4 linked regions of the Rattus norvegicus genome follow. Each later gene encodes a partner of the first gene's protein in a complex. Links are inferred from orthologs where the notes say so. Each region holds a gene or a part of one and is shown in the gene's direction. Other genes may lie near its edges. The genes, in order: Rptor, Rictor, Zfyve28 and Eif4ebp1.

Region 1 (6,767 bases):
CCTCCTGCCTCAGTCCCTCGGTAGCTGGGAGACAGCACGTGCTATTGCACCTAGCCAGAGCTCTTGCTATGTTGTACTTGTCTGCTCGTCTCCGTCTGGGCACTCAGCATTGTATGCTGTGCTAGAGCATCCAGGTACCCATGGCCTATATAGAACCTCTGCTTCTAGGTGTTCTGACTTAGCCTGGAGGCCCCTGAAAGGTGACCTGCTATTTATGTCTCAGAGTTAGAGAAGATGTATTTGGTGTACAGAGATTCTAAGACCCTGTTGTCCTGTGATTCAATGCCATGAATGGGTGGAGTGTATAAGGTTCTGGGAGAGCACAGAGCTCATCGGAGAATTGTTGCAGGAACCTGGCCTTACATGAGTGAGGGGGATGCCCCATCCTGCCTGAGCCATTGTTTGACATGGTGACTCCACTGTTTCCCAGGAGCTGGGATGGTGGTGGACTGGGAACAAGAAACTGGCCTCCTCATGAGCTCAGGGGACGTGCGCATTGTCCGGATCTGGGATACCGACCGGGAGACGAAGGTCCAGGTAACCACTACAGGCCCCTGCACAGACCCCACTCTTTACCGTGCCTAAGCCTTCACACTCACAAAACAGACCCCTCATCAGTCAGTGACTGCTATCCCGCTCTCTGTGTGGGGGAGGCAATGGCATCTCGCTGCCAGGTGAAAAGCTGATTAATTACTCCTGGATACACATTGATCATGGCACTTTGACCTGAGTTAGTTACAGCAGTAATTAAGGTTATGCTAACCCAAGTTATTTCCAGATATTGTTTTCTTCATGCAAATCAGGGAATATCAGGAATCAGTAGGGTGAAATATCTTACATGAGTACAGTTAACTGTTTGACATCTGCGTCTCTCTCCTTACCCTGGTGCTGTGCAGAAGGCAGGGCCCTGTGTATGCTAAGCACCTCCTCACTGCCCATGAGCTGGAATTTGGCCCCTTACTTAGACCACGTTTTATTTTCAAGATTGTTTGTTTGGGGACATAATTCTACCGTGTTAGACCAGTCCAGCTCCAAGTCTTCCATTTTGATTAGAGTTGGTTTTGCCTCAGATACCTGGGCTTCCTTGCCAGAGTCCAGTTGCCTCCTTCAGGTCCAAGGCAGGATCACAGGTCCTGTAAGGACAACACACACATAGCTGAGGGACGTCTGTCTTCCTGGTGCCCAAAGACACAGAGCACAGACTAGGCCGCAGCACTCTTCAGCCTGCCCTGCCCAAGTGGAGACCTGGACAAATCATGGACCTCTCACAGAACAGAGGGGCAGAGCAGGCTGGAGTGACGGAAGCTGGTGAGACTTGAGGCCTGTCTACCAGCACCGGCTAGACGCTTCCATGCATCCTCAAGCCCCATAATGCCGCCAAACAGTTAAACACTGTCTTCCAGGGTCCCTGTCCCCACAGGGAGATGGTGTGGGGTTCCTGCAGGTACAGAGCTCCTTGGGTGACATCATGTCAGCTGCAAAGGCAGGAGTGAGGCTCTTTCACCACCTCCCCCATTCACACCCCCTCCCCATCCCGTGGGTTCCTCTCAGGCTCACCCCATCTGATTAGAAAGCACTTTTCCCTCTGAGGCCATTTCCAGCTCCAGTTCCTTCTTGCTTCCATTCATCACCCCTTGCCCTTCTGCAGTATTTATGGCCACCACAGGGAGCAGAGAAGCCTTTCCTTAGTGCTTCCCTGCCTAATTAGGGGTTTGAGGAGAGAGCTAACGAGGCTCCCTCCCTGCCAAAATGTGCTTCGTCTTTCTTTTCAGGAAAGGGAGAGATTGCTGGAAAGTTTAATTGGCACTGAGAGCCAGGCATCCCCACAGTTGCCTTCCAGACTGTACCCAGGCACAGGCTCAGGGCAGACGCTCACGCAGATCAGGCATGACTGATGCCCTGTGAGCCCTGCACTACCCTTGGCCCAGTTCCTCCAGCCTGTGATAGCCTTGCAGGTGGAGACCAGTTTCTCAGCCTGAGAGAGCAGAGGATATCTCCACAGAACATACTTCAGCCAGCTTGAGGCTCCTCACTGCTCTCTTTTTGGGCTTAGGACATCCCCACGGGGGCCGACAGCTGTGTGACAAGTTTATCTTGTGATTCGCACCGCTCACTCATTGTAGCTGGCCTGGGTGATGGCTCGATCCGTGTCTACGACAGGAGGATGGCACTCAGTGAATGGTAACTGTCACATCTCCCCTCTCCTTACCTTTCACTGTCTGGCTTCTTTAAGCTGACCCCACAGAGATACAAACAGTAGCCTCACTAAACTGCCATTGAATGCAGGACCAGGAGGTCTTCTTCATCCCAAAATGGCACTAAGACTTCAAGGCTAGAACTGGGGAAGTAGAGGCTAGAGAGATGAGGGGGGTGGCCTAGGACAGCCTAACTAGTGCCTCCTTGCTGGATGTCCTCCTGAGGCTCAGCCCAAGGGCAGGGCTGCCAGCTCCCGTTCACACCACTCCTCCTAACCCTACCCTGAGCAATGGGACAGGGCTGGGCCAGTCCTGACTACACCTTCCTCCTTTAGCCGGGTCATGACTTACCGAGAGCACACAGCATGGGTGGTAAAGGCCTACCTGCAGAAGCACCCTGAGGGCCACATCGTGAGTGTGAGGTAAGGAGTAAAATTTGCTGTGAAAACATTATTTTCCCTCCATTTAAATATGTCTTCGGTGTTTAAATAGCTAGGGACTGTTGGCATTTCAGGGCAGTAATTGACTCTGCTCTGTGACTGGCCAGCAAGGTCAGAGTGTGGAGCAAGAGTGGGGGCTGGGCTGGGCTGGGTTGGGGGGCTGGGCTGGGTTGGGGGGCTGGGCTGGGGGTGTTGGGGGCGCTGAGCTGAAGGAAGAGATGCACAGGCAGGTGTGTCCCTCGAGCAGGAGAGGCAAAGCAGAATGCATTGGGTGGCACATCCCCAGCAGGCCACCTTGTCGCCAGCCAGCCTGTGCACATAAATTCAGGCCTGCTGCTCAGTAAATACTGTGCTGAGAGCAGCGAATCTTTATTTGCCTGTTAAAGAGACAGCAGAGCATAATTTACTGTCACAAACCCACCACTTCTTCAGAGAGATGCTCTTCTCCCTTGTCTGTGGCATAAAGCAAAGCACAATTCTTGGAATGGACACTGAAGCAGAAGCCATAAGCCTAAGCCAGGTGATCTGGCCCCCTGTGGGGCTGAGCATCCACCAGGCCCCTCTGCCCTCTTCTACCTCATGGACTCTGCCTCATGAGCTGCAGCCTGCGATGACTGTTCCTGTCCTTGCTTGTAATCCCTTCTCTGACCCCGGTGTGTCCTGCTTTGTGAGCATGGCAGCTCCCTTTAGTCAATCCTAGTCTTTTCTGGCTTGAGAGGGACAGCTTGATGGGGACCCCAAGACCAGTGGGCATGATGTGGTGATCTGGGCTCCACCTGTTGGCCCTTGGAGGGGTCCTGGGAGTCTGCATAGCTTTGGCCTTACCAGCGTGTGCAAGTGGACATTGACACTTTTCATGGCCAGTTTCACATCCTTCAGAGTCAGGTGCTCCCCCTAGGGGCTCAGGTAGTATCCCTAAGGATGCCACCAGCAGGCATCACCCTGGTCCTCTCTCGCAGTGTCAATGGAGATGTGCGATTCTTCGATCCTCGGATGCCTGAGTCTGTGAATGTAATGCAGATTGTGAAGGGGCTGACAGCCCTCGACATCCACCCCCAGGCAAACCTGATCGCCTGGTAGGTACCCTGCCTCCATGCAGCCCCTACTTCTAAGCAAAAGTCCCCTTGAGAGTGCTCATCCCTTGGCTCTGTCCTCCACAGTGGCTTTGGAAGAGGGTGTAACTTTACTACCCCGAAATAAAAGCAAAAGAAGTCTGTGTGCCTTAACCTGCCCTCTGTGCATCTCGGGACAGGCCTGGTTCTTCCCGGCTGTAACCAATGAGCAGTCACTTCCTGCCTCAGGGTGACACGCAGATGGACAGCCTAGCCTGTGCCCCACATGCTGGAACTCTCAGCCAGCACCCTGGACTGTCTTTCTCCTGCACCTCAGGGAAACAGAAACTAATATCCTGACCGTCTTTCCCTCCCTACCACAGTGGCTCCATGAACCAGTTCACAGCCATCTACAACGGCAATGGGGAGCTGATCAACAACATCAAATACTACGATGGCTTCATGGGCCAGCGAGTCGGGGCCATCAGCTGCCTGGCTTTCCACCCACACTGGGTCTGTGCCTTCACTCCTGGGTTTTGGGGGTGGGTGGAAGGGTAACCCAGGAAGCTGGAGTCCTCCTTCCTGACTCCAAGAACATAAAGAACTGAGATCTACTATTCTTGGGGTATCCAGAAAAACATTGTCCGGCCCCTAGAAACCAAACCCAGTTCTTTTTTTTTGGAGCTGGGGACTGAACCCAGGGCCTTGCGCTTGCTAGGCAAGTGCTCTACCATTGAGCCAAATCCCCAACCCCCCTAAACCCAGTTCTTAATGCTCAGGTAAACTAGATAACACAGAGGGAGAGGCAGCTAGTGTCCTCTGGTGTGGGGAGCAGTAGGACAGTGTCGCTGAACACTTGTGTCCATAATGTAATCACGCAGATGGATTGTTGGATGGTTAGCATTTTGCAGAGCGGGCTCCACAGGAACCTGTGTGTAGCATGTTGAGGTGCATAGCATCAGATTCCCAGAACCACCCCAGGGGGGCAATCCTGAAAGGAAGCTGCAGGGAATTGTGGGTAGTATGCAAATCACCTGTAATGCAATTTGGATGATGTATCATTCCTGCTCGAATCTGGCAGTTAATGACCCTCATTTCTGTGCCTGTGTGGAGTTCAGAGGTGTTAATCCTCACCCCCACTAGAGCTCAGCACAGAGCACAGGCAGCCTGCACCCCTTCCTCTGGCTCTGCCCAGTGCTGCAGCTCCTACCGCATCACAGGCCCTGCTCATGTGCTTCTGCTCTCTCCACACAGCCTCATCTGGCCGTCGGAAGCAATGACTACTACATTTCTGTATATTCGGTGGAGAAGCGTGTCAGATAGCGGCACCTCGGACTCGTGCCAGGCTGCAGCCACCCTCTGCTGTACATAGCGAACCAGCCTGCACTGCTCAGGATCAGTGCCCACCTCCCACCCACCTGCAAACCCTGGCTCCTGGCCTGGCGTGGCCAGCTGAGGAGGGGCTTGCACATCCTCCCTTCTGTCTTCACTGTAATGTGCAGGTCCAGAGCAGGGGAGGGTTTGACATGGCTTCCCATCGAGAACCAGGACCCAGGCACCAAGGGCCTCCTCAGTACAGCATGGTCCTTTCCTGCCCTGTTTCCTTCTGAGGTTTTACAAAGGAACACATTTGATTTTTCCATGCGATCAAAGCATTAGTCACAGAACAGACAGCACCCTGGAGAAAAGCTATGTTGGGGCTTCTGAGGGCTGTGGCCCAGCCCCTCAGAGTAGGAAAGTAGATGGAAGCAATTGAGGGAAGAAGAGGGGGGAGGCCTCTCCTGCTACTCAAGGTATGGAAGTGTGAGCCTGGCCCTCCTAGAGCACTGAGGCAGTCCAACACACTGGCTATGTCATGGTGGTATGAGGAAAGGGATCCCCGTCCTGCACAGCTAGAACTCTGAGGTCCAGTCTGGTTCCCTCACATGAGCTGGTGCAGGAGAGGGTCTGGTTCTGGGCAGATGAGGCAGATCTGTAGTCAGCGGCTGCCTACCTCTGCCAGGCACATTCTGAAGTGCTTCTCTCCCACAGGCCAGTAACAGTGGCCACAGCCCTGTCTCCTGCTTGTGCCACACACAGGCACACACACATGCAGGCACACAGCGTTCCTATCCATGCTTACATGGGTGTCCTGGTCTTCCTGCCTGTGCACACTTGGGTGTGCATTCGTGCAGGCCCACAGTCTCCCCTCCTGCACATATATGGGCACTGTGGCCGGCCATATGCACACGCATGCTGGCCTCACCAGGTTCAGAGACTACGCTGGACCCAGAGGCTCGAGGGCAGCATCAGCTGTGTTGGTGTGACTGAGGTTGCATGATGCAGTCTGTGTTGTGGAGGAGTTCAGCAGTGTCCTGGTGTGCCTGACACGTGTCTGTGCACATGCAAGTGAGGGACACTGCATTGCTGAGCAGTTGCACACAAACAGGACACAACACAATGATGTTTTGAAAAGCATTTTACGTTTTCCCTGGGAATCAGGATCTTTCAGAGGAGGACAAGCGCCCACAGGAGCCCGGGACACAGGTTGGGACAGCTGTGGCAGAGGCTGGGTCCCTGTGCTGTGCTTGGTGGACCTGTTTTAGCCAAGAGCATCTTCCCTGTGGAAGGATCCCTACAGGCCAAGCAGGGCAAGCAGGACGGGTAGGCGCTGGTGCTGCCCTGGAGATGCACTCTCCCAACATGGAGGAGCTTAGAGGAAGTCATCCCCTCAGTTGGGCCAGACAGCAGTGTGGCGTCAGGACGGCCCTAGAACCACCTGACTTGCCACCTTCTCAGTTCTGCAGAGTGCTCCAGGGGGTGGGTATCCTTGTCCAACTGGTGATTCAGTTCAGCAGCGAAGGGCCCTGGTGGGCTGGGTCGCTTCCCTGCCCAGTGGAGCCAGCGTTTGCATCTTGCCCAGAGGCTGGGCCTTCACAAGCCTGATGCGAAAATTCAATCATGAAGCTAACCAAGGCTCGAGAGAGCGCTGACCTAGAGTTCATTGTCTCTATTTATTTTACCAAAATGAGAGTTGAAAAGGACTGACAAGACACAGGACTGCAATGGTGTCCAGAGCAGTGACAGCAGCAGAGTGTTAA
Region 2 (6,767 bases), on another chromosome or scaffold:
TCGCAGACATAGCATCTGGCTGCTTAGAGCCTATTGGAGGCTGCTTTCCTTTTCCCAACAGTAACCACTACCTAACCTGTTCACTCCCTTTTTTTTAAGGTAGCTTTTAGGAATTACATAATCAGAAATGATCATAAATCATGTATCAGGAAACCAGCTCCTTTTTCAGAACAGATAGGTCTAGCAGGTTTTTACCTACCTTCATAACTTAATTTTTTCCTACATGTACATAATTGAACTAGAATATATTTGCTGAGAGAGTCACATGTCTTGTTATGCCTTTGTTTCCCTTCTAAAACAAATACATTATTTGGTTACTCCCAGACATCTTATTTAGGTTTTGGTTTTTTTCTTGCATAGACTTTTTATTTCTTTTCTTATAGTTAGGTTTAAATTTGTTTCACCAGTACCAGCGAAAAAAGAAAGGAAAGGAGAGAGTTTAGGTCTGCATGCACACCATACTGATTAATTATACTTATTAATTATTGAAAATATACTAATTAATCTAAAAATTAAAGTAATACTACTCATTAGATGTTAAAATAGTGTGGGAAGCCACTGATGTCACTGAGTTATAAAGCCCCTGACCCTTTCCTGTAAAGTTCTGGGTTTATGTCTCAGAACTAGAGAGAAAAAAAGGAAATAGGCGCATTGCTAAAAGATAGAATGTCAGAGAGAAATGATGTGAGAAGCAGGTGATGGATTCAGTCTGTGTTGGTGCTATGAGTTACAGAAGTGAAGGCATATTTCTTTGCTTTACAATCATAACACAGGTAAGCAAGGTAGCACACACTTTAATCCCAGCAATTGGGGTGGGTGGGGGGCAGAGGCAGGTGTATCTTCATGTTTTACATGCCAGCCTAGTTTACAGAGCAGGTTCCAGGACAGCCAGAGCTGTCACAGAGAAATCCTGTCTCAAACAGCAGCAGCAACAACAAACTAGATAACAAACTAGGCCTGGTCACACAGGCCTCAGGGTGCTCGTGCTAGAGATCACAGAGCCTGTCTAGGCTACAGATATCAAGAAAGGTACAGGTTTATAATAAGCACCTTTCTATGCGTATTTTTGGTCTCTAGTTGAACCCATATGTGCATAACTCAGATGTGGAGGGCTGCAGTATATGTCAAGTTTAGGGAATCCACTTCTTCTAAGGTGGTATCTCCTGCCACTGTAATGTAAAGAAGAAGCCTTGCCACTGGTCTTCCTTCACTTAACAGAATGAGCGGCCATGCTCCAGAGTCCTTTCACTTTATCTTGAATGTTTTGAAAAATCAGTAGAAACTTCATATACTCTGTACCAGCATGAGCCTTGTAGTTTTTCTTCATAGATCCTCACCATGATACAAATACAATCTTCTATTTTTTTTTAAAATTGGTATCCTAACTTTGAGCTTCAGGGAGGCAGTATTATTAATTAATCCCCTTCCCCATGACTGGTTAAAAAGATACGGTAGCACTTAGCATTGTGCCAAATTCTTCGTGTTTGCATTCTTTGAGCTGACGGTTCAATTACAGGCATGTTCATACTGGAGGATGACCGGTTTGGCAGCAGCTCTACCAGTACATTTTTCCTTGACATCAATGAAGACGCCGAGCCAGCATTTTATGACCGACCTGGACCCATAAAGGATAAAAATTCATTCCCCTTTTTTGCCTCTAGCAAACTTGTAAAAAATCGTATCTTAAATTCACTTACTTTGCCTACTAAAAAACACCGAAGTAGCAGTGATCCGAAAGGAGGGAAACTGTCATCTGAAAATAAGACAAGCAACCGGCGAATCAGAACATTTACAGAGCCCAGTGTTGACTTTAATCACAGCGATGACTTCACGAACATCTCCCCAGCACAGAAAACATTGCAGCTAGAAACTTCCTTTGTTGGGAATAAGCACCTTGAAGACACTGGCAGCACTCCAAGTATTGGAGATAATGACTTAAAATTCCCCAAGAGTTTTGGTCCAGAGAATCACAGAGAAAACACAAGCCGAGAAAGGCTGGTTGTAGAAAGCTCAGCAGGCTCACATATGAAGATCCGCAGCCAAAGCTTTAACACAGACACTACAACGAGTGGCATCAGTTCCATGAGTTCGAGTCCCTCCCGAGAGACAGTTGCTGTAGACTCTACAACTATGGACACAGACTGTGGAAGTCTGAGTACTGTGGTAAGTACTAAAACTGTTAAGACGAGCCACTATCTGACACCACAGGCTAACCATCTGTCTCTCTCCAAATCGAACTCAGTGTCCCTGGTGCCACCAGGTTCTTCTCATACCCTTCCTAGAAGAGCACAGTCCCTTAAAGCGCCCTCCATTGCAACAATAAAAAGCCTAGCAGATTGCAACTTTAGCTACACAAGTTCTAGAGATGCCTTTGGCTATGCTACATTGAAAAGATTACAGCAGCAAAGAATGCACCCATCCTTGTCTCACTCTGAAGCTTTGGCATCACCAGCAAAAGATGTGCTCTTTACCGACACCATCACCATGAAGGCCAACAGCTTTGAGTCCAGACTGACGCCAAGCAGGTGAGCAGTAAACACTGAAAGACGAGTCAGAATGGTTTGACTGTAACAGATGGAAATGTAAGACATGAGTCAGCTTGAGCACCACAGAGACTAAGTCTCAGAACTGACCCAGTTGCCAATGTAGGCTGTGAGCTCCTCGTTACCTGATAGGATTTTGAAATGGATTCTTGCAGCCGCGAGGGGGGAAATAAACTCCATTAGGCCCTGAAAATAAGCGTGTTTGCAAGGTTACAGAAGTCACAAGCGTTTTTATTTATTTCTCGCTTCTGCAAGGATCGATTTTAAAAAGAAGCATGTCGGGGGAATCAGGAGCTTAAGACCTACAATAGCAAACAACCTTTTCAGGTAGGTCAATTTAAAGCTCCAAAAGGTGACCTCTTACTATTTTTTTAAAATAACTGAAAGCCTCAGTTAAATTATTTTAATTTGTTTTAAGTACACATAATTAAATAGGAACCTAATAAACACTAAATGAATTCCAGGGCCCTCAAGACTAAGGGAGAGATTCTAATTTTATATTAAATAATCCAAATTTAGGGTGTATCAAGTATAGTTTAGGTTTGTTTTTTTACAATGATACACTTTGAAATTTGATTGTTGTAAAAAGTTCCGAACCTGTGCTTGTTGAATTATATCCACTTATGATTTATACTTTTTTAAGCAGACTGCTAGGTGTCAAGTAGTTACTTCACCGTGGGAAAGAGAAAATAAGCCCTCATTTACAGGATAGTCTCACTATCAGAATTGGGAGTTAACTTATGTAATGGTCACTCATTTCTGAGTGTTAGTAACATTTTTAAAAAAGAAGGTCCTGTTAGCAGATAGGAAATTTTGTCCCCTCTTTAAAAAAAGATTACAATAATGGTTGTTGTAGCTGGAAGTCTGTGGCTCTGCAGTCTTCATGAATGGAGGACACAGACGTGAGACATAGGTAGAGGGCCACAGCTGAGCAGCAGAGCTGGTGCAGTAGTTGTCTGGGCCTCTGTAAGCTTGGCTACTAGAGACGAGGCTAGACCATTGGTTTTAAACTTTTAAGTAAGATGCTGCTTTCTAAGCAGAAACTTTTTTTCTCCCTGAGGGATGTCTATACAAACCCAACAATCAATGCATTTCAAGATGGAGCTATGGTTCCTTAAAATAGAATTGGAAAGTAAAATATTCCCTTAATTCTCCCAATTCCAGTAGTCCCTGAAGAGCTTTGTAGAATCAGAGATCTAACCTTGAAAAACTTTACCTTTCACAAAATTCATAAAGATAAGAAGCGGTTTTTTTGGAAATTAGAAATTGTTTTTGCTTCTATAATCTTAATGGCTACTATTTCAAACACATATTTCTTTTGTGTGTTTTGTGTGAAATAATCCTTTGATTTACATTTGTATTTTTTTTAAGACTTGGTTTTCCAGTTAGTAATGTGAGACATCGAATAGCGTTTCCTGTATTTAACAAGGCACACACAGAGTGCACAGTGTCTTGCATGTAGTAATGAGTATGACAGATTACACTTACAGAGACGTCCATATGCCATGGCTGTAGAATCTTGTGAAGAGTGTCCAGAAAAAGACTAGTGTTCAGTGAGATGTCCTTGTAATATTTACAAATGATAGGATTTTACTCCTGTGTGCACCTTGTGTGTTACAGAAAGCTCATGTGATAATGATAGCATTATAGCACACAAGATTGATAACTAATCCTACTCTTCAGAACTGCATTGCTTGGTGTTAGTGGATATCTCTTTAGCTGTACAGTCTAGCAAGTCTAGCATCTCTGCTGCGTGCAAAGGCAGACTTGGAGCTGCACTTAGCGGTAGGTTAGTTTCCTTTTCTCTGAGTATTAACATTATTCTCTTTGCCTACCTTCTCATCTTTCCCTGGGGACGAAAGAGTTGTTCTTTGGGCGACATTGACAGTACTGCCGACCTGGTCTCTGATACCTAGCAGCTAATGTTAAAGTGCTTCTGTACTCACAGGAGACGGAGGTGCTGCTGCCTGCTGGTTGACTACCTGCTCGGATGGTAGTACAAATTGGGAGTTCTTGCTGTTTTTAACCTACTTACCAGTGCAAATAAAGACGCTAATGCAAGGTGTTTTTGTCATGTTACAGGTTTATGAAAGCTTTAAGTTATGCATCATTAGATAAAGAAGATTTATTAAGTCCTATTAATCAAAATACCCTGCAGCGATCCTCCTCAGTTAGGTCTATGGTATCCAGTGCTACATATGGAGGTTCTGATGACTACATTGGACTTGCTCTTCCAGTAGACATCAATGACATATTCCAGGTATTCAGAGTGCTTCTGTTTTCTATGAGATGGCTTCGTGTTTTGTTTTTAAATGTTCTGTAGCTCCTTATTAGGAATTGTAGTTTATAGAGGGTATACTCTGAGCTGCTCTGTATAGTCTGCTCTTGTGTGCTCCTCTTCAGAGGCTGCAGTCTCTAGCCAGTTTCCTTTGTTTGACTGGCGTTAGCCCCTTGTGGTATCCATATGCAGTAGCCCTGCTCCCATGAGATATACACAGTTCCTAGTTGCATGTGATAGTTCTGAAGAATACATATTTTCTTAGATGACTGTTGTAGCATTTCTTCACTCTGTTTTTCTTTGTGTGTACAGTAGAAGTGTGGGTGCGTGTGTGTGTGTAGGTCCATATGCCTGTAGTAGACAGAGGAAGTTGTAAGTCATCCTGCTTAGTACTTTGCCTTTCTCCCTTGACACGGGATTGCTCCTAGAATCTGAACCCAGGCTGGCAGGCAGCAAGCGTACGTCACTGTCTCCATGCTTCATGGCCATGTCTGACGTGCAGATAGCCATGTGAACACATCCAGCATCTTATGTGCATGGTGGGGATTATCATACATGTACAGCAAGCACCTGAACCCACTGAGACCATCCCCAGCCTTACATAAACAGTACCCACTCAGTTCACCAGGAACATGGTTAAAGAGGAGACTAGTATTTGGGTATATTTTGGTAATTTTAATCTTCTTTAGTAAGCTTTGCCTTCTAGATTTGTATGCTACAGTAATTCTATTTCTGTAACATTTCCTTTAGTTCTTAATTTCTTAATATTCATAAGGTGAATTTCTTTGTATGGTGAAACTGACATGATTTGTGTGCATTGCAGGTAAAGGATATTCCTTATTTTCAGTCAAAGCATGTGCCTCCACCAGATGACCGAGGTGCAAGAACGTTCTCCCATGACGGAGGAGGTAATGTGCTCCCTGTTCTCTGAGACGTTTAACTTTAAAATGAAAGTCTCTTTTTAGTGAGATAACACTAAAAATTAGGTACACTAAACTCAGGGGTTTATTTAAACACTAAGACAAAATAATTTATTCAACTAAAAATTAAAGCATATTTAAAAAATTTTTTTATTTTATTTCTTACTTACCCACTTTACTTATACACTTTATTGGCCCCCTCCCGGTGACCCCCTCCTACAACCATTCCCCATCCCTTCTCTGAAGGAGGAGACCTGGGGGCTTCCCCAGGTATCATCTCCCATCCCCACCCCCTGCGCCTACCTCCTGCTCTGGCGCTTCAGGTGTCTGCCAGGCTAGACCTTCCTCTCACTGAGTCTAGTAGAGCATATCCCGTATACAGATAACAGTAAAGCACATTTGTTAAGAAAATGTTTTTGCAGTGAAGATCCCAGCCTCTTAAGTTGATAAAATCCAGTTCTTTCATTTTTTTTAAAGTGTAAGAGAAATGTTCAAACTGGCTTTTTATAGGTCAGAGACACAGCTGTTGAGAAAGAAAGACGATGAGGATTTGCTTATTAGTCACACATTTATTCTGTGCTATGAATTGTAGGGAATGTGTGCATGTGAAGCATAAACTCAATGCTTTATAATCTCATTTAACTTACACTTCTTAGAAGTACTGATTTTGTTTAAGCAATTATGGGAGTTAATTGAAATACTATGATAATCTGTTTTTCAGTTGTATTTAAAAAACCTTATATTGAAACAATAAAGGAATATGTGCTGTTCTAATTTTCATAATTTAAAATACAGTATTCTCTTTCCTTCCTAATAAAAATTAGATGTTGGGTCACAGAGAGTTCTAACTATTTATCTTTAAACAGTACTATTTTAAGACATGAGAGATACCACAGTGTCTTTATCGGACTGTGTTCTTACTTGAACATGCAGGCCTTCCCTCTGGAACCGGTAGTCTCGTGAAGAACTCTTTCCACTTGCTGCGCCAGCAGATGAGTCTCACAGAGATAATGAACTCTGTCCACT
Region 3 (7,389 bases), on another chromosome or scaffold:
GGGTCAAGCGCCCTAGGCTGATCTGAGTCAAGGAGGATTGAAGAAATCAATTCAAGCCCTCTCCAGACCAGAATGGACCTCGGTAGAAAGATTCAAAAAGAATGAATGGAAGAACCAAACTGAAGGTGGGAGGGAGCTCCTGGGGGCCTAGTCTGCTTCTAACTATCCAGCCTGACCCCTCTGCTCACTGTGGGGTGAAGGTTGCCTTGTAGGAATCTGCACCCCCACCTGTGGCAAAGAGCCGGTGCACCCTGAGGGTGGGTAGACCCTGAACCCCCTCAGAAACTCACCTAAAGCTTGATCAAAGCTATCATGTCTATGGCTACAGAACAGGCACAGGCTCGGCCAACTATGAGGCATGCTTCGAGTCCCTCAACTTTACTTATTTCCAACTTATTTTTGGTTTTATTTTTGTCTTGTTTATTGTTGTTTTGGGGAAGGTGGTCTTGATATATAGTAGAGGATGGCCTCAAACTCTCCATCCTCCTGCCTCTGCTTCCTTAGTGCTGGGATCACATGCCCACATAGTCACACCTAGACTCAGCTTTACTTAAAAGAATGTATTTGTCTGTGTGCTTGCTTTGCGAGGGAGAGACAGAACCCACTCATGCACTGGGTTCTGGTCCAACACTGAGGCACATCCAAGTGCCTCAGCTTTTAGTTTACAGGTGAGCATTGAGACCTGGTTCTTGATCGATTTCCTCTATATGTGGCTCTTTAACTCCCTTCTCCAGTAAGGGCTCAATGGTCTGGCACTTTAGGTACCCTGGAAGGCAGGCTGAAGCAAGCAAGGAGGGTTCATTTCTATCAGATACAACCCACTACTACAGTCTCAGCCACGCCATCTCTCACGTATGTTTGAAAATGTCTTCTTTCCCCGGAACTATGGCTGCTCTGCTAAGTGTTTTGTCTTACCCCGTCGAGGTTTTGTCTTTTACTGTGTATCATAATGCTAAGTGCGGTGGGGGGGGGTTGGGAGTTGGGAGTTGTGGAGTCTGCACACAGACCTAAGTGACCCCGCCCCCCACATTATTTCTGATTGGTAAAGAAAGATGTCAACAGTCAATAGCTGGGCAGAAGAGTCATAGGTGAGGTTTAGGTTTCCTGGGCTTGGGGTCAGAGGAGGAGGAGGAGGAAGAAGAAGGTGCAGGAGGAAGGAGGAGAAGCCACCATGGGTTAGGTGAGCCCTAAAAATGTGTCCCTGAGGGCTGGCCAATTGGAGGTAAGAGCAGCCCAGATGACACATAGTAAGTAATAGTTCGTGGGTATCAATAGGAAAGTAGATTCTAATTGCACATAAGGTAGGTATCTGCCCAGCTCTTGTGCTGTTTAAGGCTTACTGTAGATATAAAGGTTGTGTGTTTCTTTTATCTGGGAACTAAATGGTTAAAGGCTGCTTAGAAACCTCAGGATGGAATTAAAACTTTCTACAACAAGCTATGAAGCCACTCCTTGCAGCTTTCTCTTTCCTCCTGAATAACAAACCCTGACTCTCGCTTGGACCTATTGCTACCCAACTGGTTGGTGACATTTCTCAGCCTCCTCGGAAGCTGGCTATGGCTACGTGTACAAGTCCTTCCATCTCTGAGAAATACTAGAGGATACACTTTGGGAGCGTTAGCCTGAAGTGTAGGACATTCCTTTCTTCTCTTTTCCAGTGGGCTAATGGCTTTAGGAGGTGACAGCTAGAACCAGGGCAGCTGCATGTATCACACACATGCAGGGCCTATGAAGTCCAGAAAAGGGGTTTGGTTATTTGGAAATGGAGTAACAGAAAGTTGTGAGCAGTCATGGAGGTTGCTAGGAAGTGAACCTGGAGTCTTGCCAAGAGCACCCAGCATTCTCAATCACAGCGCCATCTCCAGTCCCATGCCTAGCTTTTTTTTTTTTTTTTTTTCTTTTTTCCTGTGAGTTCTGGCATGCTGAGCCTCCTTCTTCTAACAGGGCAGACACTTTACTGACTGAGTTATCTTCCCAGCCTCAGAAGCAGTTTTTATGATGGGAGAGCATACTGTTGTGGACATGTTGACTCTAAGGTGATCTGTTAGTTGTACAAATAGTGAGGGACAGGCAAACAGGTCTGAATCCAAGTTGGAGCGAAAAATGTTTGTTTGTGAAACCGCGTGGCTGCCTGGAACTACACAGAAATGGATGGAGAGCAGCTTACAAGGAGTAAGAAGTGAGCTACAAAGCTGAGCAGGTCCAGGGCTGAAAGGCTAAGGGAAGATGCTGGAGCTGCTAGAGGGTGCACACACTGTATTATCTGGGTCACCTGTTGTTAAAAGTAGGAGGGGGCTGGGTTCGGTCCCCAGCTCCGAAAAAAAGAACCAAAAAAAAAAAAAAAAAAGTAGGAGGGGGGGAGGGGGGATATAAATCGGAGGTGGTGGAAAGCGCATTTTATTTTAGGACGTGGGAAGAAGAGCGCAAAGGAAGCCTGCTAAGGCCAGAAAATCAGCAAAGATTTAAGAACTGGAGAAAACGAGTTAGCGAGAAGTGAGGATGGGCTGCGCCTGGCTCCCTATGGCGGTCCCTCACCTTAACCTGCTCGCCTACCTGCGGGCCTCTTGGCCTCCTTAGGCCTCCACCTGCCCCCGCGTCGTCTCTCCAGGCACCGCGGGCGGGAGCGCTCACTGGCCAGCTCCTGCACCCGCAGATCGCCTAAGCATCGTTTAGGCGCCGTCACCTAGCAACGCCGCTCAGGCCCTGCCCGCGGTGGGCGCTGGGACTTGTAGTCCTGAGCCGCCCTCCCTTGGTGCGCGTCTCGGGTGGGGTGCGGCTTGGCGCTGGGCGGGGATTGGCGGCCTCACCCGGCTCGCCCCATCCACCACTTGCTGCGGGCCGGGGGCGTGCGGCGCCTCCGGCGCATGTGCGGTCGTGACCAGCGGAGGCGCCGAGTGCTCGCAAGCCGTGAAGCATCGCGCACCCTGTGCCCGCGCCTTTCCGCGCGCCCGCCCGCTCGCGGGTTTGGGTCGGCCGCGCGCCGCTCGCTGAGCATCCTTCCGGCCGCGCACCTGCCCCGCGCACCTGCAGCCAGCTGCTCGGCGCTCTGTGCAGCGCTCAGGATCCGCTTGCTCAGGCAGGTCCCGGCCCTGCCTGCGTGTCCGCTCCGCGCCGCAGCCGGACCGGGGCGCAGCGCTGCAGAGGGCGAGGGCCGCCCGGAGCGTGGCCCGAGCCGGCGCGGCGATGATGAACAGATTCCGAAAGTGGCTGTATAAACCCAAGGTGAGCGGCTCCAGCTGCGGACCATGTCCCGGCGTCGCGCTTTTCCCCCTCCAGGTCCCTTACCCTGCAGGTCCCTCCTCGATTAGACAGACCTCGTTTCCCTGGCCCTGTATGAATCCCTCTCTCCGGTTCCTGCGATACCCTGTCCCTGCATTCCGCGACTTGGACAGACCATGAACCTGGCATGCATTGACCGCTCTTTTCCAATACCAGACAGGGCTCTTTCTTTCGGGCCTGGGTGTACTGGCCTGTTTCTTCTCGTCTGGGTACTAGATGGGCACCAGCCCGCACCCAGCGGTCCCAGACTGCGTGCTCAGAGCCCCTACTTCTCTTGGTTCCCTCTTGCCTCACCGCAGATGCTCCTTCATCTTTTCGCACCACAATTATTCTGGCCTAGAATAGTGGGTCTCCCAGCTTCCCTTCGCACTTGTGAACCGACCTTCTCACTCCCCTTTCTCCAATCCCTAGGCTTTGGTCAGACCCTTTCTTCCCTTATCTTTGAGGTCCCTCGCGCCGCGATCCGGTCCTCTATCCCAAACCGGGTTAATTGGATCTTGGTTCAGTTTGCATCCCTATCCTCGTCCGGTAGCCGCCTGCACCCTTTTGGATCTCCGACCAGTCCTCTGTCCAGTCTCCAGATGAGGCTCCTGGAGCCTGCAGCTTCTGTGGGCCGGAGGTGCGATTCACTAGCTAGTTCGGGTCCGGGCGGCGCGCCCTGAGCCTCGGCAGCCGCACCAGTCGCACTGCGGGCGCTGCGTCCCGCTGCCTGCCTGCCTGGGGCTGTCGTCTGGGAGCCGGACCCGGTGCGCTCTGCTCCGGGGTGGGCGACGCAATGCTAGGATCCAGCGAAGATCCAGGACACATCTGCAGCGCCCAAAGCTGCCTGTTGGGGGTCGGCGGAGTCTGGGGGACGCCAACGCTGGAGGTCTTCAGAGGGTCACGACCTGGGTGGGGTCACTGCAAAGACTAAGGGCGGGAGCAGTGCAGCCTCCTTCTCATTGGCCCACCCAAGCCACTGACCCTTCTCCCGCCGTGACTAGCCACATTTCTTGGTTTAGGGTTTCTTCTGTCCCAGACTCTGTGAATGGTCTCTGAGGTGGAGCGAGCGTTCTGGAGAGACAGCTAGTGTTTGGAAGACTGGCATTCGAGGCTTGGGGGACGTTCAGAGACCTGAAACTCTTATGTTTTTTTGTCTGCCAAGGTCGGGAAGTTTTTCCTCGGGTTAGAGAGTGTTGGGGTGAAGGCTTACAAAGCATGGGGCCGCCCTTGATCAGCCTTGGACTGACCAGAAGGTATTCTGGATTCTTGTTCGCTGGTGCAGCAGCGCTTCGCGCTCCTGTCTTCCTGGTAGCCGGCAAATATGGTGAGGGTGGGAGGGGGCGACCCTTGCAATGGGTGGGGGCGACCCTTGCAATGGGTGTGGTTTGAGTCTTTCTTGCTTTTAGCCACGCCCTAGGCGTCTGGCCCTCTCTTTGCTGCAATCCCTTCAGTGTGCTCAGTCCTGCCTGCGGTTGATTAGTGGGTCTGCTAGCGGCTGCAGCCGCTCCTGCCCTGCTTATCTGTACAAGGAGTGGTTTTCCCCACTGAGTGAGTTTTTAGCGCAAGCAAAACCAAACCAAACAACAACAACAAGACAAGTTTCAGTGCTGAAAAAGTCGCTGCAGGGGTGGGATTTACTTTTTCAATAACAAATGTCAGGGGAGCAGGTGGCACTGTTAGCATGCCAAGCTACATCCCTGTCTCTCAGAACGCTTGTGGAGCGCTCGGGCCTCCAGGTGCCATTTCCAGCAGAGCCACGGTGGGAAAGGTGTGTTCTGTGACCCTCCTCACTGTTGGAAAGGAAGGAGCAGTGCCTATGTACCGGTTGGTTATCGCCTATACCTAATTCACAGTGGCCTTCCTTTGAAGTTGTGCTTTCTAGGTGCAGACCATGGCAAGTGGAGCGCTGAGTTAGTAACTCTGGGTGATTCAGCCCAAAGCCGTGTACTTTTTAGAAGGGAAGAGATAGGTTAGATTGCCCCCCCCCCCAGCCCTCACAGCTGTTCTGTTCCTCATTGTCATTTCTCTGTCTGATACTGTCCTTGACCTCTGGACTTGAGCCACATCTCTGTCTGAGATCTTGCTCTGGCTATGACTTTCCCCCGGAGCTGGTGCCCTGAGGCCAGTCTAATCGTGAGGCATCTCTTCTTTGAGATCTGTCCTTGAACGTCAGTGTCTTGATTGTTTGAAGCATTTGGACTGTGTTAATGTCTTCCTAGTAGTTTTTTTCAAACCAAAGTTTAGATTTTTTTTTTTGGCCTCCGATTATGAACGATTATGTTTCTCCTTCCTACTGATTTGAATACGTTTTGACACAAGTGAGTTGAGAGTCGGTCCTGAGATGATTCTGGGCCTGGCAGAGTTAAATGTTAGCAGTGTGGGATGTCTGGGGGAGATTGCTTCAGACATGATCCCCTTTCACTTCCTATTTAGATACACTGCTTAAACAACATTTAAACGTAACTACTGCTTTGGTTTACATTTGGGGCTGGGGACCGAACCCAGGACCTTGCGCTTCCTAGGCAAGCGCTTTACCACTGAGCCAAATCCCCAACCCCCTGCTTTGGTTTAAAACTGAACACATACAGACCGTGTTCATAACTTGTGGTAGAAATATTTTGAAAAATGTTGTTATTCCTACAGTTCACCAAAAGCAAGGCTTAGATTATTTCCTCAGTGACAAAAGCTTTGGTTTCCAAAGCACTAAAATCTATTTGAGTTGGAGGGAAAACATACCCAGTGACAAATATAATAATGTTAAAATGATGTCTCAAAGCGTTATATCCTCATTGATTTTCTCAAAGTCAGCCTTTGAACAGCTTTCTTTTTCCTTGCTGAAGCACTCTCAGACTCCTGTGACCCTGGGTTTGGGTTTTCTCATGGTGTCTGTGAGAAAAAGGCTGTGGCTAAGGCTCAGAGGCTGAGCTGTCCATGTTGCTTAGAGAGTGCAGGTAAAGTCTTCCTCAGAAAGAATGTATGCTTCAGAAAGGTGAGGCAGTTGGTGACTGTCTCTGAAACAAAGGTCCAAGCTTGACTTTTGCTTGGCTGTAGCTTTCTCTGACTGACTGGGATGATATTGCCGGTTACCAAGAGGGAGGAAGTTGTCCTAAGAGGATAAGGGCTCTAGGCTGAGGCCCTGCCTGTGCTGGAATTCTTGGCTGTCATGGGCGAGCCTATTGTTGTACATGGAAGAACTGATTGGCAGGCAGTGCTGCTTGTCAGGGGTATGGGAGCGGTGGGCGTGGTATCTAGTTTCTGCACTTAGGCATGCACCCCACAGAGAGCCTTCTTGTCTCAGCTCCAAACCACTGCCAGGGGAGTGGCTATTGCCCCGCAGGCCGCTCCTTTCCAGTGGAGTTTTCTTGAAGTCCTTCACTGCCACTTCGTGATGTGGAGAAGCTGTTTGCAAACACTTAGGGTCAGATTACAGATGAGATGGCCCTCACCAAGGGAAGCCAGTGAGACTTGCTGGGTGTGTTTTCTATTAACAATAGTTTTTTAAAAAAATATTTATTTATTTATTTAGTGTGCAGGGGTCTGTGCTTGCCACCGTTCATACATGGAAGTCGAAGGACAACTTTCTCCATGTGACATATGTAGATAGAATTCAGGTCTTCAGGCTTAGTGGCAAGCGCCTTTCACATTGAGCCATCTTGCCAGCCCTTTTAATTAATTAATATGTATATATTATATGTGTGTATATATGTATGTGTGTACGTGTGTGTGGGGTGTGTATGTGTGTTTGTTGTGTGAGCATGTGTGTCTGTGTGTCTGTGTGGTGTGTCTGTGTATATGAATGTGTGAGTGTGTAGGAGTGTGTGTGTATGTGAATGTGTGTGGTGTGTGTGTGGTATGTGTGTATGTGTGTGAGTGTGAGAGTGTGTGTGTGTGTCTGTGTGGTGTGTCTGTGTGTGTGGGTGTGTGTGAGTGTGTAAGAGTGTGTGTGTGTCTGTATGGTGTGTGTGTGTATGTGTGTGTGTGGTGTGTGTGTGGTATGTGTGTGTATGTGTGTGTGTGGTGTGTGTGGTATGTGTGTATGTGTGTGAGTGTGTATGAGTGTATGTGTCTGTGTGGTGTGTCTGTGTGTGTGGGTGTGTGTGAGTGTGTATGAGTGTGTGTGTGTCTGTG
Region 4 (7,336 bases), on another chromosome or scaffold:
CTATATCCTTTTATATTCAATTGGAAGACTTGATATGAATGAATTCCTGCCCGGAAAGAGGCAGGAATCACCCTGGGCAAAATGGTTGTGCGAGAGACAGAATTGAGCAGAGAATTTGTAAGAAAATTCTTAAAATGGCCATGCTCAGGGTCCTTGTAGTTTATTAAAGGAGAGCTACTTAGTGGAAGGCTGGGAAATGGCGCTTACCCTTAGGCTCAGGTCCCTCCTAGCTGTGGTGGTAGGCTTGTTGGCAATCACCCGAGTCTACCTGAGTGCCTTAGGGGTAGCTGTCTTAGTCAGTGTTCTCTTGCTGTGAAGAGCCACCGTGACCACTGCAACTCTTATAAAAGAACACATTTAATGGAGGCTTCTTACAGTTTTAGGGGGATAATCTTTTATCACCATGGTGGGGAGCATGGTGGCACCCAGGCAGACATGGTGCTGGAGAGGTAGATGAGACTTTCCTATTTGGATCTGTAGGCAGCAGTAAGAGAGAGAGAGAGAGAGCCATCGGGCCTGGCTTGGACTTTTGAAACCTCAAAGCCCACCCTCATTGACACATTTCCTTTAACAAGGCTGGTGTGTTTATAAAAAGATGAAGAGAGGGGGGATATGTTCTGTGGATGTGTGGTGAGGTGTGGGGGAAGGGGGTGCCTCTGTGAGAAGGGGGAAGGCATCCCTTCTCCCTGAGAGACTAGCCGCATGCTAGTATAGTATAGAATAGAGTTTATTCAGGGCATGGGGAGGGGAGTTAAGAGGGTAGTAGGGGCAGAGAGAGAGAGAGAGAGAGAGAGAGAGAGAGAGAGAGAGAGAGAGAGGAGAGAGAGACATAGAGGATGGCCGTGAGCATGTGGAGAGAGGAGGATGGGGAATGGGAAGAGAGTGGGGCAGGAAGGCAAGAGGAAGAGAGGAGCAAGAGAGCAAGAGGGGGCAAGCAGACTCCTTTTTTGTGAGTCAGGCATACCTGGGTGTTGCCAGGCAACTGTGGGGTGGAGCTTAGGCAGAATGCTAATAAAGGCCACACCTCCTAATCCTTCTCAAGTAGTGCCACTCTCTGATGACCAAAAATACAAATGTATGGGGGCCATTCTTATTCAAACCACCACACTAGCTCTATCTTTGTACAAGGGACTATGGGGTTTCTGAACCAAGAGATTCCAAGCTTAGATATCTCCAGTCTTTTAGTGCCTTCATAGCTATTAAGACTCCCTTCACACCACTACTTTTAAAAATTGAGACAGGTTGCCTATAGATATATAGCTGAGGATGGCCTTGAACTTCTGATCCCCCAACCTTTACTTCCTGAGTTCTGGGATTACAAGTTTACAAAGTGCCACCACATTCAGTTTTTATGTTGGTGTTTGGGATTTAACCACGAATTTAGTGTGTACTAGGTAAACTGTCTACCAAGTATGCTGCATTCCAAGCTTCCCCTGGCCCCGTTTTTCTCTCTCTTTCACGGTTTAAGACAAGGTCTTACATGTCTGGCTCAGGCTGTGACTCAAACTCACCATAACTCTGGCCTCAACTTTGTGGTAATCCTGTTTCAGTTTCTCCAGTACGAGGACTATGTGAGCTGGCTTGCCCAGTTCCAGCTTTCTCTTTTGTCAGAGTCAGGGTTTGGCTATGTAGCACAGGCTAGACTTCTCCTGCTTCCGTCTTGTAATTGCTGGGACAAGTGTGTAGCACTTGAATTTTGAGCTTGAATGTTGGCCTTCGTAAGCAGGCCCTTCCCTGAAATCTTAGTTCCAGGAAATCTGGGGCCTCTAGAACAACCAAACAAAGCAAAAGGCAAAACTCCTTTCAAAACGCTTCTCCCAAAGGGAGGAAGGTGGCCTACTGTGTTCTCTCAGGCTAGCCTGAACAACAATGACAACAGGGTTCTGGCCCTACCTTGGCCTCAGATGTGTATTCAACAGCTGTGAAAGCTTGTGCAAAACCCCGCCCGTTTCTGAACTTGGGTTTTCTGCTATTCGTGGTTGTTATTGTTTACATGCTATGTTTTGTTGAGATGGAGTCTCATTAAGTAGTCTGGCTGTCAACTCGGGATCCTCCTAGGGCTTCAGCTTCCACACTGCGGGGATTATAGGCATATCCTACCACTTGGAGGCTGCCACAGACTCTCCGAAATCGATTGGACATGTATTTTCCTTTCCTTCCCTAGCGACTACCAGACAAAGTGCTGGAGTAGAACCCAATCCAGGTACTATTGGGTTCTTTGACCAACTCTAATCCTTCCCAGCCCACCGTCCCTACCCATTCCTTATCAGTTTTATATTCGGTTCCCAGCTGGCTGGCTAGTTTCCTCTTACTCTTCCACCACTCCTTTCAAGTCCAGGAATGTGCGTTGTGCAGCTACTGCTCTGACTCCTACTGTACCGGGGAAAGCTGAAGAAACGTTAAGAAGGGCGAAGGATCAGCCCACCCTTTCTTCTCTTTGGAACGGCCCGGGATCGAGAGGTCACATCCTAATATAGAAAACAGGCGGTCTGGTACGCTGAGACGCTGCCACTAAATCGGAGAACTCCGCCACCGTCGCCTCTACATAGTTCTTCCCAGAGTCTTGGGGAGGAACCGGGGAACACAAGGGGCCAGCTTTGGGGTTCCTGCCTAGGTCAGCAGCTGGGAACCACTTGCAGGCAGCGGGCTGGAGCTGGGTGGGGCCGGGCGGACCGCAAGTCTCTGGGGGCGTGGAGCCCAGGCGGAAGGGGCGGGACGGGCACGAGAAGGGCTGGGCCGAGGTGCCGCGGGGTTGCTGGAGGGTCGTGGGCGGCGTGCAGGAGACATGTCGGCGGGCAGCAGTTGCAGCCAGACTCCCAGCCGGGCTATCCCCACTCGCCGCGTAGCCCTCGGCGACGGCGTGCAGCTCCCGCCCGGGGACTACAGCACCACCCCCGGCGGCACGCTCTTCAGCACCACCCCGGGAGGTAGGCGCGGGCCGGGGTCCCGGGCAACCTCGGGGGCTGGAGGCTACGCCGGGATCCGGAGTCTCACTTGCGACGGGGAGGGCGCCATACGGGGGTTCGGTAGCTGGACAGAAAGGACAAGGGGCGTCGGGAAAGCAGAAGGGTCGCCGTCTCGGTTGCCCGCCTTCTGGGTGTGGTGGAGCGTGGTCAGGAGACCAGGCTGCAAACTGCCTACCTTAGAATTTTCCTGGGAGACACCGCAGAGTGCCCTGAGCATACAGATAGGCACTCTGCCAGGACCACCATGTGCTTAAGGGCTGCCTCTGTGGGTGTCAGGGTAGTTCTAGGGTAGGACAAGATCAGGGAAAGTGGGTGGCCTGGAGATTAAGTTTAGTTGATCTCTCTTGGCATAAATGACGCCTGCACACTTTTTAACCTTTTCGGGGAGCAACCCACATTTTTGCGTTGGACACTCGCTCATTAATGGAGGCTGGGTGCTGGAGGTGCTCCCTGCCTCAGAAGAACGTCTTGGCCACCTGTGGCATCGAGCCTGTTAGGAGAGAGAGAGAGAGAGAGGTCCCTGCAGGGGCCGCATCTGGTGTAGTGCAGAACAACACGTTCCTCCGGCCTGGGGGCAGGGCGCAGCGCTGAATTCGCCCAAGTGGCGGAGGATGAGGAAGAGGAAGCTGAGTTGGCGCGGGTGGGGGCTGGCCTCCGGGAACCAGGCATTCCCAGCCCCAGTATAGGCGCTGATGAAACCTACCCGCCCGTTTGCGTGATGAAATCCTCGTGGCTCCCTACTTCCCTCCCAATCCTCGCGCTGCTCCCACCCACTTTTGCGCTTCTCCCCTCCCCCGGTCTCCTCCCCCAACTACTCCTCTTACAACTCAAAAACAAGAGAAACCCTGGCGCGGTGGTGAACCTTGGGCCACTGCCGGCGCAGCCAGGCCACATGCCTATTTTCTCGGGCAGCTGTCCCTACACCAGGGAGCACAGCCAGATCCCAGAACCAAGCTACTGATGAAGGGATCTTGGAGATCAGTGTCCAGTGAGTGCTGTGATCTTCAGAACACAGTCCCAAGGCCTCGCTGCTTGAGCACGTGTCTGTACGCATTGCCGTTCCCTAGACACAGCAAGAAGTAGCAAGCAGGTAGGGGGAGAGAGCGTTCTCCCTCTCATTAGAAATGGCCAAGGAAAAGTTCTCTGCAGGCTTCTGGCCTCCTACATTCCTCCTGGCCTCTTTTTAGTCCAAGCTGTTGCACCTTTTGTCTTTTCACAGAACTTTGTGTGGGGCACAAAGTTCCACAGACAGTATAGTCCTTTTAGGTGAGGTGTGAATCTGGGTGGGGTTGTTTTGTTTTGTTTTAAATAAGGCACGGAGATGGGAAACTTTTTTCTCTCTTTCTGGATGGACAGGTTAGCTGAGTAGCAACAGCCAGTACTGTTTGTAATGAACTCTGAGCCACTTCTCACTGCGGTCTGGGAAGTGTTCTCATTGGCCAACCGGGCAGTTCCTATTGTCTTTGAAGAGGAAGAAGCATTTGCTTCTTAACTGAGAGAAAGCTATCAGGTCCCCAAAGCAGCTGGCCCTTGTCAGTTCTGTTTGTTTGTTTGTGGTTGTTATTGTGTGTGTGTTTGTGTTGCACGGTCCACAACTGAGGAAAGTCTTGCTTGTTTCTGCCGAAGTCAGCAAGCCTATTCTTTAGTTTAGGAGTGGGATCTTGTCCCAAAGGCCATTCATTCCAGGTCACCTCTGCCAACCTGCAGAAGCTTGACCCATTTGCTCCGGAGTGTTTCTCATCACTTAGGGCCCCGATTAAATACAGAATCGGAGGGCAGAGGTCTACAGAGACCTGTTACAGGACAGCCAGGGCTACACAGAGATCCAGCGGCCTTAGCCCCCTGAGTGCTGGGAGTTACCGTGTGCACCGCCACATCTAGCCATTCGGGTTTTCTTTATTGTCTTGGCTGTTGAATACCTTTTGGACTATTTCTGTTTGCTCTCCCCTATTCTTCCCTGAAAATCCATCTAGCTTTTGAATTTTCGTACATATATCAGGGGCCGACTGGGACACATTTACTATGTCCTCCGGGATCTATAGGTGTATAAAGCCCGTGAGCTTGAAGCTGGGCTGAGTCATTTGTCTAACCATTATATGTTTGAGCGGCCACATTCCATTTTGAGAACTCAGGAATTCCAGGTGAAAGGGACCAGCAGCAACAAAACCCATGAATGTATGTATATATGTATGTATGTGTGTGCATGTGTGTATATGTGTGTATGTTTGTATGTATGTATGTGTGCGTGTGTGTATGCATGTGTATATACATATATATGATTCCCCCCTCTTTCAGATCTTTATGAGTCTGGCAAAGTAGATTCCATCCAGGCATAAAGTCAGGCTGACGTTTCTTGAACTTAGGCTTTCTACACACCTTGGCGTGTGGCTTGACCTGTAGGGGCTGTAAGCACCTCATGAAGAAATACTGCAGGAAGCCACTGCAGCTGAGGATGGCTTTGAAGCAGCTGCCTCTGGTGGCAAGGACACAGCAGGTGGCCTGAATATCCATTCCTGGGACCCATTCCTGAGACTCTGGTCGGTGGTCATTAACCCTTCGGTAACCTAAGACATTTCTGGAGGGAGTGTTTGAAGACAAGACTATTTGAAGCTCGGAGTCTCTAAGATTGCCAGCAACGTCATAAACAGGATCTTCTAGTGAGCGCCCAGGATGGATGTTTGACCCCGAAACCTACAGAAGTTGTTTGGGTGGCCGTACCTAATAGTACCTGGGTGAGGTTCATCAGACAAGCAGGTAGGGTGGGAGGTGTTAATGACGTTGCTTTGTTTAGTGGTGAAGGTGAATGTCGTGGGGCAAAGACAGGAAGATCTTTGTGAGGTTGAAGCTAGCCTGGTTTACAGTGTGCATAGTAAGTTCCAGGTCAGCCAGACCTTCATAGCCAGACCCTATCAGAGAAAAAAAGTCTCTGTCTAGGAAGCCAACCTTGAGGTGGCTGCCAAGTGTTTAGCTCTGGCAGTGCTGTGAAGAGGGGAGCGGGCTGGGTGCTGCTGCTGGTGACTTGATGTCCTTGATGTCCTTCTCTCCCTGAGGTCTTAGTCACATAGAGGGGAGAAGTTACGGCTGAGGATATTATTATGGGCCAAATGAGAGAGCTTGGATATCGAACCAGCAAGGAGATAGAATGGTCCCCATCTCTCTCTCACACACCCAAGCTTCCTTTTAAAGTGTTCAAAACAATATACATTAGGTTCTGGAACATAAGTACTGAATTGGAAGGAGTTGGGTAGAGCACTCTAAACTCCCTTTGAGGCCTCTTGGTTTTTAAGGCATGCCCTGCATCCTGACTAGGAAGGTAGTCTGACATGGAGGGTTGGGATTCAGGTGAAGATACAGCTGAGATTTGGTACAAGCATGGGCCGGAAGAGATGGCTCGGGTCAAAAAGTGCGTGCTGCTCTCGGGAAGGTCTGTCCTTTAGCACCTACAGGATGCCCCTGGACCTCTGCCCACTATGATTCTAGCTGGAGGGGTTGCCTCTTCTTGCTTCCACAGGAACAAAAAAAAAAAGATTTATTTATTTTATGTGTATGTGTACACTGAAGCTGTCTTCAGACACACTCGAAGAGAGCATTGGATCCCATTACAGACAGTTGTGAGCCACCATGTGGATGCTGGGAATTGAACTCAGGACCTCTGGGTGAGCAGCCAGTGCTTTTTTTTTTTTTTTTTTTTTTTGGTTCTTTTTTTCGGAGCTGGGGACCTGGGGACCGAACCCAGGGTCTTGCGCTTCCTAGGCAAGCGCTCTACTACTGAGCTAAATCCCCAACCCCGCAGCCAGTGCTCTTAACATCTGAGCCATCTCTCCAGCCCCACTCACAGTGATTTTGCTTTGTGTTTTTGTACATAGACCCCAGGGCCGCAGAAGATGTCTGATAATCCAACAGAGCTTGTCTCCGTGCTACATGGTGGTCTAAGGAGGCGAGCCTCTAGGTTTTAGTGACCTTCAGAGGTCGCCTTTTTCTTTTCAAAATCCTCCCAAAGCAACAGGTATTCATTAGTTCAAGGTGAGTTTGATTCTCCCCAACCATAACAGTGAAAGTCATTACCGACTTAGGCGGAGAGAGGCAGATAGAATGGCTCAAATCATTTTTTTTCCCAAATTGAGCCTTCATTTGATGCTCAGGAAAATGAGTTAGATGGGAATAGCAATATTGAAAATGAAGATTGCTTAAAGTGACCTTTTTTCCCCCCTTAGCATTCATTTGTGCATATGAATCCCCATATACTCAGGCAAACAAACAAAAGCATCCGTTACTTTCTGGCCTGATTCTTACGTCAGCCGTCTTTCTCCGTGGTGAATCATGGCCATGAGTCTGTTGACATGCTAGTTTCTCGGGTTAGACAGGATGTT

The links.
Region 2: Rptor (region 1) and Rictor share a complex: the UniProt entries of both Homo sapiens proteins name them as parts of the mechanistic target of rapamycin complex. The link is inferred for Rattus norvegicus from reciprocal best matches to the Homo sapiens genes RPTOR and RICTOR.
Region 3: the proteins of Rptor (region 1) and Zfyve28 are in contact, whole or in part, in a cryo-EM structure (PDB 9F43), measured with the Homo sapiens proteins. The link is inferred for Rattus norvegicus from reciprocal best matches to the Homo sapiens genes RPTOR and ZFYVE28. Residues at the interface, in NP_065812.1 of Homo sapiens: Arg54, Arg305, Arg306, Thr317, Asp321, Phe337, Arg338, Leu341, Ala344, Arg348, Leu437, Gln438, Leu440, Leu441, Ser442, Gln443, Arg446, Pro474, Tyr475, Lys478, Leu479, Gln481, Ser482, Ser483, Ala484; in NP_066023.2 of Homo sapiens: Arg399, Val400, Phe401, Phe402, Met403, Asp404, Asp405, Val406, Glu407.
Region 4: the proteins of Rptor (region 1) and Eif4ebp1 are in contact, whole or in part, in a cryo-EM structure (PDB 6BCX), measured with the Homo sapiens proteins. The link is inferred for Rattus norvegicus from reciprocal best matches to the Homo sapiens genes RPTOR and EIF4EBP1. Residues at the interface, in NP_065812.1 of Homo sapiens: Arg54, Arg305, Thr317, Asp321, Phe337, Arg338, Leu341, Ala344, Arg348, Leu437, Gln438, Leu440, Leu441, Ser442, Gln443, Arg446, Tyr475, Lys478, Leu479, Gln481; in NP_004086.1 of Homo sapiens: Glu111, Ser112, Gln113, Phe114, Glu115, Met116, Asp117, Ile118.

The regions. Positions count from the first base shown.
Region 1 is NC_086028.1:105,668,626-105,675,392, forward strand, and holds part of Rptor (regulatory-associated protein of mTOR), read left to right. Parts: intron 1-430; coding exon 431-537; intron 538-2,053; coding exon 2,054-2,181; intron 2,182-2,530; coding exon 2,531-2,617; intron 2,618-3,594; coding exon 3,595-3,711; intron 3,712-4,070; coding exon 4,071-4,200; intron 4,201-4,941; coding exon 4,942-5,010; 3' UTR 5,011-6,767. UniProt on the Homo sapiens protein: Component of the mechanistic target of rapamycin complex 1 (mTORC1), an evolutionarily conserved central nutrient sensor that stimulates anabolic reactions and macromolecule biosynthesis to promote cellular biomass generation and growth.
Region 2 is NC_086020.1:57,614,456-57,621,222, forward strand, and holds part of Rictor (rapamycin-insensitive companion of mTOR), read left to right. Parts: intron 1-1,516; coding exon 1,517-2,525; intron 2,526-2,798; coding exon 2,799-2,870; intron 2,871-4,625; coding exon 4,626-4,803; intron 4,804-5,644; coding exon 5,645-5,729; intron 5,730-6,674; coding exon 6,675-6,767. UniProt on the Homo sapiens protein: Component of the mechanistic target of rapamycin complex 2 (mTORC2), which transduces signals from growth factors to pathways involved in proliferation, cytoskeletal organization, lipogenesis and anabolic output.
Region 3 is NC_086032.1:80,689,989-80,697,377, forward strand, and holds the start of Zfyve28 (lateral signaling target protein 2 homolog), read left to right. Parts: upstream 1-3,008; 5' UTR 3,009-3,183; coding exon 3,184-3,222; intron 3,223-7,389. UniProt on the Homo sapiens protein: Negative regulator of epidermal growth factor receptor (EGFR) signaling. Acts by promoting EGFR degradation in endosomes when not monoubiquitinated.
Region 4 is NC_086034.1:71,504,243-71,511,578, reverse strand, and holds the start of Eif4ebp1 (eukaryotic translation initiation factor 4E-binding protein 1), read left to right. Parts: upstream 1-2,733; 5' UTR 2,734-2,785; coding exon 2,786-2,927; intron 2,928-7,336. UniProt on the Homo sapiens protein: Repressor of translation initiation that regulates EIF4E activity by preventing its assembly into the eIF4F complex: hypophosphorylated form competes with EIF4G1/EIF4G3 and strongly binds to EIF4E, leading to repress translation.